2 linked regions of the Drosophila melanogaster genome follow. The protein of the gene in region 1 interacts with the protein of each later gene in a pairwise test. Each region holds a gene or a part of one and is shown on either strand. Other genes may lie near its edges.

The links.
Region 2: the proteins of CG7236 (region 1) and CG5742 interact in a two-hybrid assay, tested with the Drosophila melanogaster proteins (one large-scale study listed by BioGRID).

The regions. Positions count from the first base shown.
Region 1 is NT_033779.5:5,706,283-5,714,440, reverse strand, and holds CG7236 (uncharacterized protein), read right to left. Parts: upstream 6,051-8,158; 5' UTR 5,993-6,050; coding exon 5,874-5,992; intron 4,492-5,873; exon of another isoform or gene 4,344-4,491; coding exon of another isoform or gene 4,303-4,343; intron 2,539-4,302; exon of another isoform or gene 2,402-2,538; coding exon of another isoform or gene 2,292-2,401; intron 2,204-2,291; coding exon 2,017-2,203; intron 1,960-2,016; coding exon 1,087-1,959; intron 1,026-1,086; coding exon 888-1,025; 3' UTR 650-887; downstream 1-649.
Region 2 is NT_033778.4:18,147,596-18,153,612, reverse strand, and holds CG5742 (uncharacterized protein), read left to right. Parts: upstream 1-2,202; 5' UTR 2,203-2,305; coding exon 2,306-3,937; coding exon of another isoform or gene 3,938-4,063; 3' UTR 4,064-4,191; exon of another isoform or gene 4,192-4,446; 3' UTR 4,447-5,517; downstream 5,518-6,017. Other genes in the region: adp (adipose), read right to left, coding at 1-905, 972-1,719; EMRE (essential MCU regulator), read left to right, coding at 5,731-6,017.

The sequences.
Region 1 (8,158 bases):
TTCTTTGCTGCCCTTGCTTCGCCTTAGAATAGTCTCAGCGCGCTATAAGCTTCACTAATCCTTTCATCACCATCCTTTGGGGCACACGTTTCTCTGACGCTTCTTGAAGGACATCAACAAAGTCCTTGGGACACGACTAGGATACACGAAAGCCGATACGTGTCGCTGATTATCTGCCGTGTGCTTAGCACTGGATTAAGCTGCCAAAAAACGTGGTATGGACGCCAGGAGGCGATATCTGTCGACGATGAAATACTTCAGGAGCGGAGCCTCAAAAGAGGGTATCAAGCAGTTCATGTATATATATCAAAGGACTGCAAAACAGACCTTATTGAATCAAATATAAAGTAAACGAACTTATAACATTATATAATTATAAATGTTCTATTAAAAGGGCTCCGCTGTTCCCAATCCGCTCCTGGTTAAATAGATGTAAAAATGTGTAATCCAGACCAGGCTCAACAAGTAGGTGAGAGTTGGAGGTGGAATGTAACCGTTTGACTAGTCGACATGCTGCAAGGATTTTTAATTCGATGTACGTGTGTGTGCAAGGCTGAAAAGGATTCGAGCCAGGACGCAACTGGAAAGTGAATTAAAGATTAACCTGGAGTGATTTGCGAATCTCATGGACTAACGGAATTGAAAATTTATGGAATAAAACATTATGTAGCACATTTTATTTGATGACAGCTGAAAATTGCACTTTAGACTTAGTTACTAATTCAGTTCGGCCCGAAGGGATGAGTTGCCAAGTGTTTACGAACGTTCCACCCAGTGATATATTAATGGATTACTTTTACACATTTATTCCCAGCAGTAAATAAGTTAAATTTCGGGCTCAATTCTCGCTCAAGGACATTACTTCGTTACAAATTCTCTGCTCAAACTCAAATTGTGGGCAGATGATGCTCGGTGCGATGTAGCAGGTTTGCATTCTTGTTCAGGGGCTGCAGCTTCACGTAATCTTGATGCGGGTGATGATGATGCTGCGTGCTAGGCAGCAGCGGTAGTGATGTGTTTGAAGTCTGTAATCGAAAGGATATACTAATAGATTGAATTATCCTCTGAGAGGACTGCCGTACGCACCTTTGATTTATCCCGGGCCGCCGCGATGGCCGCCGCCTGAGCAGGACCCGTCTGGAGCTGCTGGGCCGCCGTGGCCAGCATGAACTGCTGGGAGGCGAGCTGCTGCTGGCGGAGATTGGCCGCCTCCAGGCTGTTGACGTGCTCCAGTTCGCGCTGCTTAGCGATGTAGTCATCGAAGTAGGAGTGCTTTGTGAGCTTCTCGCAGGACCAGCGCTTGGTCGGATCCTTGTCCAGGCACTTCTTGAGAAAGTCAATGGTCAGGGGATTCTGCTGCGACTTGGCCGGCATCTTGTCCTCCAGCGGCTCCAGCGTCGGCGGCACTGGCAGCGTGATGCCCTTAAAGTACTCGTTCTGTCCAAAGATCTGGATGTGGCGCGGCAGCAGGTCGCCGAGCGTCTTGCGGATCAGATAGAGCTGATCCACATCGCTACGTCCTGGCCAGAGGGCCTCGCCCCGGACCAGCTCGGCGAAGAGGCAACCGATGGCCCAGACGTCCACCGGAGTGCCGTACTGAGTGTCGCCCACCAGCAGCTCCGGCGCCCGGTACCATCTGGTGGCCACGTAGTCCGTGTAATTCTCGCCCGGACTGAGCATCCGGGCGAAGCCGAAGTCACACAGCTTCACCTGACCCTGGGCCGTCAGCAGAATGTTCTCCGGCTTGATGTCGCGGTGTAGGCAGCCCTGCTTGTGGCAGTAGGCCACGCCCAGCAGGGTCTGGTAGCAGATCTGTTTGGTCAGGTGCTCCGGGCAGCCCTGTGGATGCCGCTCCAGTTCGTGCAGCACGGTCAGCTCGCAGAACTCGAAGACCAGATGGAGGCGTCGCTTCCGTCGGAACACTTCTAGCAGGGAGACAAGGTTCGGATGCTTCAGGTTCTGCAGGAAATTTCGAGTGATTAAGTGATTCAAGTGATTTAAGTTATTAAGGCTTACCTTCAGTAGCCTAATTTCTCGCAGTGCAATTTTACGAATCGCTGGATCATCCTCGGACTCCACAAACCTCTTGACCGCCACCAGAGCACCCGTTTCCCGATCCCGGCACTTGTAGACCACACCGTAGGAGCCCTCGCCCAGCCGACTGAGCTTCTCATAGCGATCCATTTTGCTGCTACCTTGTGGTCTGCAAGGAAGTTAACAGGTATGAGTTATTCCGGAATTCCCACCCCGATTGCGGCTAACGTTCAGTTTGAGTTTGGAGTGGATTTTACCTTAAGCTCAAACATTGACCACGTTTGATGTTTGCACGTCGCATTGCTTTGCATTGGGCACACAAAATGTTCAAGAATTTTTCTGTTTGATACCTCAGACACGAACACATGTGGACTCACAGGGGCGAACTTGCATTCTAGGATATGCGAGCGAGTATGAAGTGATTTGATATTCGATCTGGTATTATTTCAAGGGCTGTCTTACGATTTGATGTGTATGCATATATGTACAAGTTATTATATTGAATAGGTTTGGTTTTTTTTTGGGGATGTCCAGAACATTTTGGAGGTTTGGTTTCACGAATTCGGTATGATTTGGTTAGTCGATTTCGATGGAATGAAACAAACAACAAATGAGAGAACTTTTAGAATGAGTTATTTGGTTTAAACGTTAATTTTGGTGGGCCAAAGGAACTGTTAAATAAAATGTAATAATAATAAATTAAAATGTGCCGAAGTACATCAATATAAACTTCTTCCTGCTAACTTTTTCCAATCTAAATGCAGCTATTATAGCTAATCAAATAAATCGATATTGTAAACATTCAATTGCCATTAGATACACAACCTAATCATTACTACTCTGCCATTTATAAGCACGAGAACTAAATCGATTTTTTTGACCCAAGTAAACATAACCCTATGTGGAATTGTCATTGATTTGAGTGTATGGACTAATGAATTCTAACATTTTTACACAGTTTAAGTGAAAATAAGATTAAAATAACTTATTCTGTTCATTCAGAATTGTACCATTAGTATTAGATTAGAAACCGAGGGTAATTAACTTTCTAGCGTGAACACGAAAACTAAATCGATTTTGTAGCCCCAGGTGTTCGAGAGCGTGCTCCTTTGAAATTGGCATTACCGGTCTGGTCGAGGACTTCACGGGTTGACAGTTCAATGCCAGCCACAAAACCTTAAACGGGGTAACTGAACCCTGCTTGGGCCTTTCTGCATCTTTTGCTAACATGTGTGTGGGTCATAAACATGGCATGCAATTAAATATTTGTGTGCTTATGATGGTGGTGCTGGTTGGTGGCACAAATAAATGAAAGCAACACAGGACACCGAAAACGTAGCAAGCAGATGACTTACCTAGGCACCCATCTGGCTAATATCTGACGTATTTGCCACTAGAGTTAGTAATTGAATTGTGAATGAATAGGACATATATATATATATATATATGTATTTGATTAAAGTCTTTTGGGGGAAGTCTACGATACACACCATGCGCCGAATATTCCGCCAAGCCTGTCGATCAATAAATATTTGAATGGGTAGACCGCTTGAGCGGACGTATGTTTTGTCTGACAACTGAGCACCGAATGGGGGAAACGCTAGAGCCGACCTGTGCCCCATGTCGACCAGGTCGACTCCACCCCACTGGCCAATGTCATAGCAATGCGACCAAAGTTAACAAAGCAAAAAACCACAACAAAACCAAATCCATGCGCAGTTGCCCCCAAAGTTGTTCAAGAAGTTTCTCCCCTTTGTTGTTTTTTCTAGCGACTACCGGAAGACATTCAAGGTGTGCTTCTTTCCCAGCTTTCCCAGCTCCTTTCCCACTACACATTTTGAGGTTACCTGCTGGAGTCGTCTGTCTAAGGAGAAGGCAGGGGAGTCGCTTATGAACCGGGTTCTTTGACACAGATTGCTGGAGGATTCCATATAGCTAAACTGGTGCAGCAGTGCAATAAGTTTGTCGTAACTACGCGCTACGTGGGCGCTTCGGGGGTGGATTCTATTTGGGGTCCTTATTACTAATTAATGTTTGAATCGCTGTGCAATTATAACAGTATTAGGGATGGCTTTTCCTGGCTGAATAACTTAAGTATTGCTGTGCAGCTAATTTGCTTGCCAGGGGTCACTTATTGTGTTTGCTTTTCGAAGCTGTCCAAACTTTAAAACTTTCACAGTTCACAGGCAAATAAGATAAGTTATGATGTTAATAATAAATGTTAATTTTTTTTTTTAATTTTGTTTATTTTTTTTTTTTTGCTCATACCTTCGTAGGGAAAACAATTTAGAAATCTCAAACATTTTCATTGCAGTATCGAATTTTTTCCAGTTCACCTTTTGTCTATATTTGGTTTGTTTCCGTGTTTCCTTCACTTGGGCCAAACAAAGAGCCCTATAACTTTTTGGCAGAACTACACGATGTGAAGACGTTAAGAGCCGGCAATCGACTGAGGTGCTTTTGGCTAGAAACGAGTTTGGAGAGCGACGGAGTTGGTAGCAGCTCGGTTGCATCAGCGGACATCGCACATACGCCGCGTTGGCCAATGGCGACTTTGATTCCTATGTTTTTGTTTGTTTTGGTCTTGCGTGTTTCATTAATAATGCATTTAAGTGCAGTGGAAAAACACGAAGGTGAGCGTCGAACATAAATTAGGAACCATAATCACGCATACTGTATAAGCAATATGTAAGGTATATGTATATAAAACGAATTCTTTGACCGGTGTGGTGTATTAGGTAACTAATTTCCTTGAAATTTACCTTTAAGAAGTGTATGAAAGTATAGTGACAGCACCCCACTGATTTCTGATTTGCATAATTACTGAGAACTCCCGTCGACCCCGTTCCAACTTAAACACCATCTGCTTGCCTTATACATTTGACAGCTTTTGTTTTCCGCGAAAGCACTTTAACCTTTCCCACTTTGATTTTACCTTTATTCTAGGCTCTTGTGGCTTTTAATTATATTTTTGTATTTATTGTTCTATGTAGTTGTTTGCGCATAGCAATTATTTGTTCATGTCGTTGTCATGATGTTTGCACTCAATGTTGGGGTCAATGCTTCCCAGCTTAATGGCTCTTCGTTTATTTACCATTCTGATACTGACCCCCGGTATTTGTGTGATATAGCAGCGCTAAAGTTTATTTAGTAATGGGTATTATATAAGAATGAGAGGAGAATTAAAGCACTTCTATTTAAGAAAAAGGAACATTTAGCTGGCCTTTAAAATAGATACTTAAAATTGAAATTTACTTATACGAGTTTAGCTTACTGAAGTCAGACTGAATGGTCTTTATTTTTAGAGAAACCACACATTTTTAGATGTTTAATATTCGTACTGCCTTGTGGGTTTATTTCAAGTGTCTGTACTTGCTAAAATAGCAATAATATGTCAAGTAAGTAAAGTTTTTTAGCAAAACCTCTAACATCGCCTTGTAAAGTCCCTGAACCTTTTGGCCATATAAATATTGCGGGTTGTTGGTAAGGGTTGTGTTGACGTGGCCTTTGGGAAAACAAGCGTAAAATGCAATAAATAACAAGCCATTAATGCCAAATGCTCACACACGCACCGAGTGTCCCAAACTTTGTGCGAGGTCTGTGCAAAAAGCGTTGCCTACTTACGGGGATAGCAGAGCTGAAGCGCTTGGAGGACGAAGCAGGCATATGCGTGTGAAATGAAAGGCCAAGGCCGTTGCAACACCACCTCCACCAGCAGCGACTCAAATGTCATTGGGAAAAGTTTATCCTTTCTGCCCGTTTTAGCACTGCATTTCACTTTCATTCCGCAAAAAGTTGGTAAAGCTAATTAGGGCCACGAACGGCGCTAATCGACCCACCTGTACTGCCTGGTCTCAACTAAGTCCGGCTCATTGCACACCTGGATCTTCTGAATGAGGCGGTAGAGGAAGGAGTTCTGTAACGATTGCGGCAAGTAGAACGATGAGCTGTGAAACATTGCACGTCGCCAGGCGTTCGTACGGCTGCAGGGTCTCAGGATAACTAAGTTGCACTTCGACGGTCTCTCGTCTATTTATTTTATCGATACATGATTTCAAATGCAACGGACATCATGAATACTTTATGCATGGAGCGACATTCCTTCTCAAACAGGTGCAAAAAACCGGCTCTGTTTCTGACGTGTCTCGTGCCGGCAATGCTTTTCCATATTGTTTAAGATTTTTTTGGGTCAGAAAAAATGCGGCCGGGGGAAGCCAAAGGAACATGCAAATGAGTCAGGCGCATAATGCGAGAAGTGAGAGTTGCGACGGCAGGCGAATGAGGCAGAGTTTGCCACATGCCACAGCGAGGCACACGAAATCAGTGGTGCAAGCTGGAGGGAAAAAAACGGCTTGCGGGGATTCAATTATGTAAGGTGAGGCGGGCACCTGTGAGTTTTGGCATCCACTGTGGGAATGAGAGCGACTGTCAAATGCCATGAAAGCGCCAAACAAATGTAAGTATCCTGCTGGCAAACCGAAAACGCGATTCTAATTCGCGGCTGTTGAAAAGTCCATTCACCAAAAGTGCTGATATAAGCAAAGCAGTCCCATTATAACATTTTTTGAGCACAATGAACGTTTAGATCTTGGGATCATGGCAATTCAATGTGAATAAACTTGATTAAAGTTTAAAAAACCCTTACTAATTTCACATAAATAAACTTAGGAAATGTATGAAACACATCAAATTGTTATTGCTACCAGAACAGCATGAATTGCGCTCCTTGGGTCCTGGGTCATGATCATGAACTTGTCTTGTATTATATAACTATCCATCTCCTGAAACAACTTATCAATAATTACCAAAGAAAAGTATGTGACTTGTAAAAACCTTCTCATGAACAAGTGTGCGAGTACAAGTGTTATGTATCAATCATTTGCTTACAGTCTGATGGGCAATATCTTATTCTATTTCAGTCAGATATGTATTCCAGCAAAAAAACATTTCCCTCTGTTCCTTTCGAGCAAAACGCAAGTGTCGTTGACATTTGCCGAAAATAGGGTTTTCGTCTGCTTGGATCAAAAGCATTAAAAACCGCTACATCATCCGTTCCCATAAGTATGCAATATTCCTTCAGAGCTGCTTGTCTGGCCTGTCAGAATTCGGATGGTAAGTGGGTTGATGTTGGAGACAAATCCAAGCTCCGAACGCATTTCAATGCAATTTGATGTCTCTGTACTTGATTTCATCTCTTTTCGCTTTTGTTCTTCTGCATCTTTTTTTCCGTGCACATATACTCGCATTGATTGAAATTCAATTTGATTGGAGTTTTTGTCCTTTTTGGTCCTGTGGCTTCTTGGTTAGATCTTGTGTAAGTTGAGTAGCTTTTAACTGTCAGTTTCAAAGGCGTTCAAAGAAGGTATCTAAATGTTAGTTAGAGACACACAATGTTTTCATACGATGATTACTATTTACTGTAGGGTTGGTTATTCACAAGGCCCGACGTTAAGCAAAACAATATCAGGGGCAACACTCTATCTGCGCGCCAATCTTGAAGTTCAAGTTTAGGCCAAAACAATGAAAAAATGTTTGGATAGCACTTTTTGTTACCATTCAATGCAATGCAATGCCAAGTTCGACTTACCTTCTGGGCAAAAGTGGAAGGTGGTTACCAAACAGCCAGAGACGTTTCTCTCCGAACCATTTGTCCATAGACAAGCATTTAATAACTGTTTGGAAAATTGATTTTAAAATGCCGTACTATTTCTGGAATCTCGAAAGTGATTTCCGCATCCTGCGAGCATTTAACTAAATGGATTTTCACGCGCGAGATGCGAGGCGAGTTTCGCGTCCGTTGGCGAAGAAATATTAACAAACTTTGTTTATAAGCGTAGTCCACGCCGTAAACGTAGCCGGAATTTTTATGTGCGCCGGCATTGAAAACGCCGAAGACAATGGAATGGAGTTTCCAGGGGGTGGGCTTGTTGGGGTGTTCGTGACGGTTGACATTGGCAACGCTTTGGGGCAAGAAAGCCCGGTGGGCAACGGGATGGGGATCCGAATCAGGGTTGCTCGCCTTGTATTTGGTTATTAATAGTGTTGTTATAGCGCATGCCGTTGTTTATGTTTGCATTGTCAATCTGTTGTCACTAAAAACAAACAGCAAATTTGAGCTTAGTTC
Region 2 (6,017 bases), on another chromosome or scaffold:
AACGGCGCGTATCTTGCCCGTGTCTCCCTCCCAAATGTACATGTTGCCGTCATCCGAACCAGCGGCTATGAACTCGCCCTGGCTGCCCAAATAGTTGGCCTCCTTTATGTCCGTCGTGACGTTGCAGTGGCCCACATAGCGTTGCATATAGTCGCGTGCCGTGGAACGGAGATCATATTCGGCGTTCTTCAGACGCAGGTAGCGGAAGCCATCATCCACTTCCACCGGCTGTAGCTCGGGTGCCTCGGGGCTCTTTGACTGTCGTCGATTCTCCTTGATGTCCTTGTTCAGCATGAGCACGCCGTGATTGTTGGCGAAGTCGGGGAAACGCTGAATTAGTGCCTGCAAGCACTGATCCGCATCCTGGGGTCGATGCAGCTCAAGCAATGCCCTGGCCAGCCGAAAGTGGGCCTTCACATAACTGGGATCCAGACGCAGGGCCTCGTGGCAGTCCCTAAGTGCCGCATATATATCACCAAACCAGCCGCGTCGCATTAGAGCCGTCGCTCTGTTCAGATAGAGGACCTCTCCTTGTGGATATTTCGCCAAAGCCGCTGAGTAAGCATCAATTGCATCTACAAGTTTGCCGTTCTCAAGAAAGTCATTGCCCTCCTTCTTATACACCTCTATTTCGGTTGGCAGCGAGCGACTTCTGTGTGGCATCTTCACCGGCTCCTCCTCGTGAACGAGTGTTGATGTGAAGGCGGGCAGATCGTAGAAAACCGGAGGCTCAGCGTGATTCAGATCAAAGCGGTAGACGTGCTCGCAGCCTATGTTGACCAAAAGCTCTGTGCCATTGCCATTGAACGTAAGATAAGTGATTCCCCGTGGCTCGTGGACAATGTTCCGGCTGATGTTTTTCACGATCTGTCCGGGTGCATAGTACGCCACGCAGGCAGAGAGACCTTAAAGGGATAAGAGTTCAATATGCATATGTATGAGCTGCAGCGCCTACAAATTCAAGTACTCACCATTGCCGTTGGTGGAGGGCAGCTTGCGGCGATCGTACACCCGGGCAAAGGGATCGTTGGTGCCCACGGCCAGGTATTCCGTCCTTCGGGGATTTATAGCCAGACATTTGGCCTCTGTGTTCTCCAACTGATCGTGCAGGTTCAAGAGCCTGACACCAATACCTTCCTCGGGACGGCAGCGATGTGGCTCACGTATATCTAGCTGCAGGATGCAACCATCCTCTCCCGCCGACCAAAAGACGTGCGGCGAGTCCTGGGCGGTGGCCAAGCGCTTCGCCCGAGAAAAATGGCAAATGCAAGAAAAAAGGGTCTCGTTCGGGTCGTTGATGTCGTAGACGTAGATGAACTTATCCGCTGCACACGTAGCCACAATGCTGTTGTTGGTCTTGGGCAGAAATTTTACAGAGAACACATTGCCCAGATGCTTGGTCCTGATGACATGAACAAGCTTCTTTCGGAACGGATCCCAGATCATCACACGATAGTCGTCGGATCCGGAGGCCAGCCACATACCATCAGTGGTCCACTCCAGACAGTTGACGCAGCCCTCGTGACCGACGAGCACTGCCTCCTGCTCCAGCCTGTCCACGTAGGCCGGCGATGCCAGCAGACGTCGCCGGAGCATCTCGTCCAGCTCATGACCGTATTGCTGGCGCTGCCAATGCAAGGAGCTGGCGTTCAAGGGCGTGTGCTGGCGCTGATAGCGCGAACTAGAGTACTTTACGCGATACAGTTCATCGCTCGACATTATCTCCGACTGCTGTGGATAGGATTATGACACTTGTTTCCGTTTGTTTTCGTCTCGTTCTCCGTTTAATTCATTTTGCATTCGCTGATTTCCCCTGCCCCGCTTCGCCCCCCTTCCATCAACAACTTTGCTGTTGTTGACACCTGTGCGCGGCGTTGCCAGGCCAGCGCGTATCGCCGTAACGGTTTGCGTTAGCTTACGGGATCGAACAACCAAATTTCAGTTATGGAAAAAGTATTTCTTTTTTTAAACACCCGAGAAGTGAAAGATTAAGTAGAGTCTAGCACACAACTGACTTAAACCGCCTACGAAGGCAAACGTAAATTCATTTATAAAACCTCTTAAACTCTATTATGGCTTAAAAAAAGAACAAACAAAAAAAAACAGGTTTTACGTATAGTAAAAAAATGTAAGCCAATTGCAAGTTCCGCTCTAGCCGACCGTTTTTAAGGGCTGGAAAATGGTGGAAAACATTTGAGGGATTATAACAGTTTTACCATCTGGTAACACTGCCAGATAAACTAAAAAAATCGAATTGATTTATTTAATTCCACGGAAGACGCGACGTTGACTGAAAAGCTAAGACATGTCCAAAGAAAAGGAGGACGAGTGCGACAAGCACAAACAGCAGGCGACGGCGGACGCCAAGTCCACGTCGAGCGAGGATTCCGATGAGTACCAATCGGCCGGTGAGGGCGAGGATGGAGACGGCGATGGTGACGGTGATTCCCCAGCGGAGCGCCCGCCTGACAAAACCAGCCCCACGGTCGCCGTTGCGCCCACAGCAAAGGCAGCATCGCCACTGCCCACTGTGAAGCCAGCATCCGAGGCCCTGGACTTTCCTATGCACCGGAGTGTTTTCGAGGACGACATCAAGTCGCTGCAGCGACGACTTCTATTGAGCACGGCCCAAGACGAAGTGGGTAGAAAGGATAAGCACGGCAATACGCCACTCCATCTGGCCGTAATGCTGGGCAGAAAGCACGCTGTCCGTTTGCTTCTGGCCCAAAACGCCCCCGTAAAGATCAAGAACAATGAGGGCTGGTCCCCGCTGTCCGAGGCCATTAGCTACGGCGACCGCCAGACAATCACCCAGGTGCTGCGAATGCTAAAGCTGCAGTCCCGCGAACACATGGAGAGTCGGCGCGAGAAGCTGGTCAATGCGCTGCGCCAGATGCAGGACTTCTACATGGAATTCAAGTGGGATTTTCAATCATGGCTGCCACTGGTTTCCCGCATCCTGCCCTCGGACATCTGCCGGCTTTACAAGTCGGGCGCCTCCATTCGTTTGGACACCACACTGGTGGACTTCAATGATATGCGTTGGGAGCGAGGGGACATATCGTTCTTGTTTAGAGGTGAGGCGCCGGCAAGGGAATCGCTGGTTCTGTTGGACAATGAGCAGGAATGCTTTCAGCGGCTGCGATACGAGGAATCAGACATGGAGGATGAGGTGGATGTGCTCATGTCGACCGATATACTGGCCACCCAGATGTCCACCAAGACGATTCAGTTCGCACGGGCGCAACGCGGATGGATATTCCGCGCCAATCGCAAGGAGCTCATTGGGGGCCAATACCAGTGCGAAATTTACACCATCCAGGGCTTAATCCTGAAGCAGCGTAAGAGGCGGGAACACCTGTCACACGAGGATCTACAAAAGAACCGCGCCATTGTCGAGACTATTACCAAGGGTGCCAGCCAGCAGCCGGATACGCGTCGCTCCAGTCTAGGCAGCCAGCACACGGCCACGCCGCCGGAGACCAATACACCAACGGCTCCGAATGGCATCTCACTGCCGGAGCTGCCGCGTCGCAGCTCGCTGCAGGCCCCGCCGCCTCCCACAGTCACCTGGCGACAGTATCTCGATGCGGAGGTCGGTAAGTGCCCGCAACTGGGTCGGACACCCGTGCACAAGCAATCCAACAAGACGCTGCGAGCAACGGTAGCCATGAGCAAGGACTTTCCACTTAGCGTGGATATGCTGCTGGACGTTCTGGAAGTCGTGGCACCCCTAAAACACATCAACAAGCTGCGCGAATTCGTCACGCTGAAGCTACCGACGGGCTTTCCCGTGAAGATTGAGATACCCGTACTGCACACGGTGACCGCCAAGGTGACGTTCCAAAAATTCGAGTTCCGCGACAACATCCCCGCCAAGATGTTCGAGGTGCCATCGCACTATTGGGAGGATGTGCGTCGCTTTCAGGACTTATGACCAGGCGACGGAGAAGCCGCGCCAAAGGCCAAAGCAGCAACCGGCGGACCGACTGGAGCAGCGACTGGCGTTCATGTCGACTTGAATCGCAATGCGTCCTCGCCCTCCATTGCGGAGTTCGATTGATGAGGCGTCTACCGCGACACACGCCTCTCATTCTGCCTGTCCGCCTGTCCCACACATTTCATGTCGCGTTTAGTGATCACTCCAGCAAAAGTCGGAGGATACAGCTCGAACGCGGGCGGCTTGTTTATGTATGTATGCTTAAGAGGAAAACACCCACACACAAAATTGCAATTTTCACCATGAGTGAATCCCATACTCTCCCGGTCCAAATCCAAATTGGACGCTCTGAAAATTGCAATTTTACATTTACGTTTTGTTATGTACTGTATTTGTTTTTAGTCGCCTTCGCAAGAAGGGTCATTACTTAGTAGTATTTATTATGCACAGGCTCGTCATTTTTAACAGCCCGAGTGAATCACATCAACTTCAAATGGTGTTTTCAGATTGCCACCCTAATTGGTGGGGTGCGGTCCCAAAACAGCTGCTCCACTGGCGAGGAATCCAGAAGATCACTTTCCCAAATTGCCTTTCGTATCTGCCGATAATCGCGGCGGTACGAAGGTAAAACTAAATGTCCAATCTGCAGAATTGCTTGCTGATAGCCACGTTGACAGCAGCAATTTGCTAAGTTTTTAGTTTGTAAGTGATTAGATGTTGTCCAATATCCGATCGTTTCGCAAAACGTTTATCATTTTATTTATGTCCATACCCCCTTTCCGTGTTTAGTGCAATTTCATACATAGTTTTAAGGTCAACTGGGAAAGAAGACAGATGTTTGTTTTCGAAATCGAAAAAAAAAGAATCCACGTAACCGCTTGAAGAACGTTCATCAAACAATTGCGTTCTTCTTCTACTTAGGCTATGTGTACTAGAGAATCGATCGCAAAACCATTTCCATTTCGCCTTTCCTCGCAATAGTCTCAAGTATTTAGAAGTGCGCAAAACTGAGACCAGCAGCTTCACAAATCAATTATAAATAAATATTTATACATACGCATGTAACCAAGTATTTATTTAGTTCCATCTTAGCCAATTATTTATACTGCAAAGAGCGTCTGTACTTGCTTTGTATTTGTTAATCAACAAAACCAGCTAGCACCGATTTAGTTTCGGTTCGCATTGCTTTGCTGTGATTTTGCCCTCTTTAAAACAAAAAAAATATGACTAAACACCACCATGTATTTATGTATGTATAACTGCCATTGCTTGCTTTTATTCGGACACAATTTTTTATTTCGTTTATAGAACTCCAATCCATTTAGGTCAAATCAAGGCGATAATCAAATGAAATTGTTTTTAAACCGTAATCCTAGATCAAAACACATCTTCACAAGAATTCTGATGTAAGCAAAAATCAGTATATTTTACTAGGTAAGGGCAATTTATTGAAACATTTATATTTATACGTGGCCACCCTAACTGTAATTGAACCGAGCAATTGTATACGCTCTAAAAAAAATAATTATATACACAAACTGTAAATGTGCAAACCCAAGAGAATTTGTGTTTTATTTATAAACAAATGGAAGTCGTTGGGATTTGAAACTGAATTTGGGCGGGCGTTCTTCACCGTTACACCACACTGCCCGGCGGGGGTGTTCTCCCGCCTGTGCGCGCTTTTCAACACTACTACTGGCTGAATCAGCTGCTTGAATCACAAAATACGCACAAATTGAGACAAAATTTTGTTTTTGAAACGAAATAAGCGATAATTGAAGCCTACCAAGATGATTGTCCCACGCCTGGCACTTCCCATTAGCCTTGCCCTGCAGCGCGTGTCGCGCCGGGTGGCGGAACACCCCCATAACCTAAGGATCCTGCAGCGCCACATGTCCAGCGTGTACTTTCGCAGTGGAGCCATCAAACCCAAGCCCGAGGAGATGCCATTCGGCCTGCTGGCCATCTTCTGTGCCGTCATACCGGGACTCTTCGTGGGCGCCACCATCAGCAAGAACGTGGCCAACTTTCTGGAGGAGAACGATCTGTTCGTGCCCGCGGATGACGACGACGACGA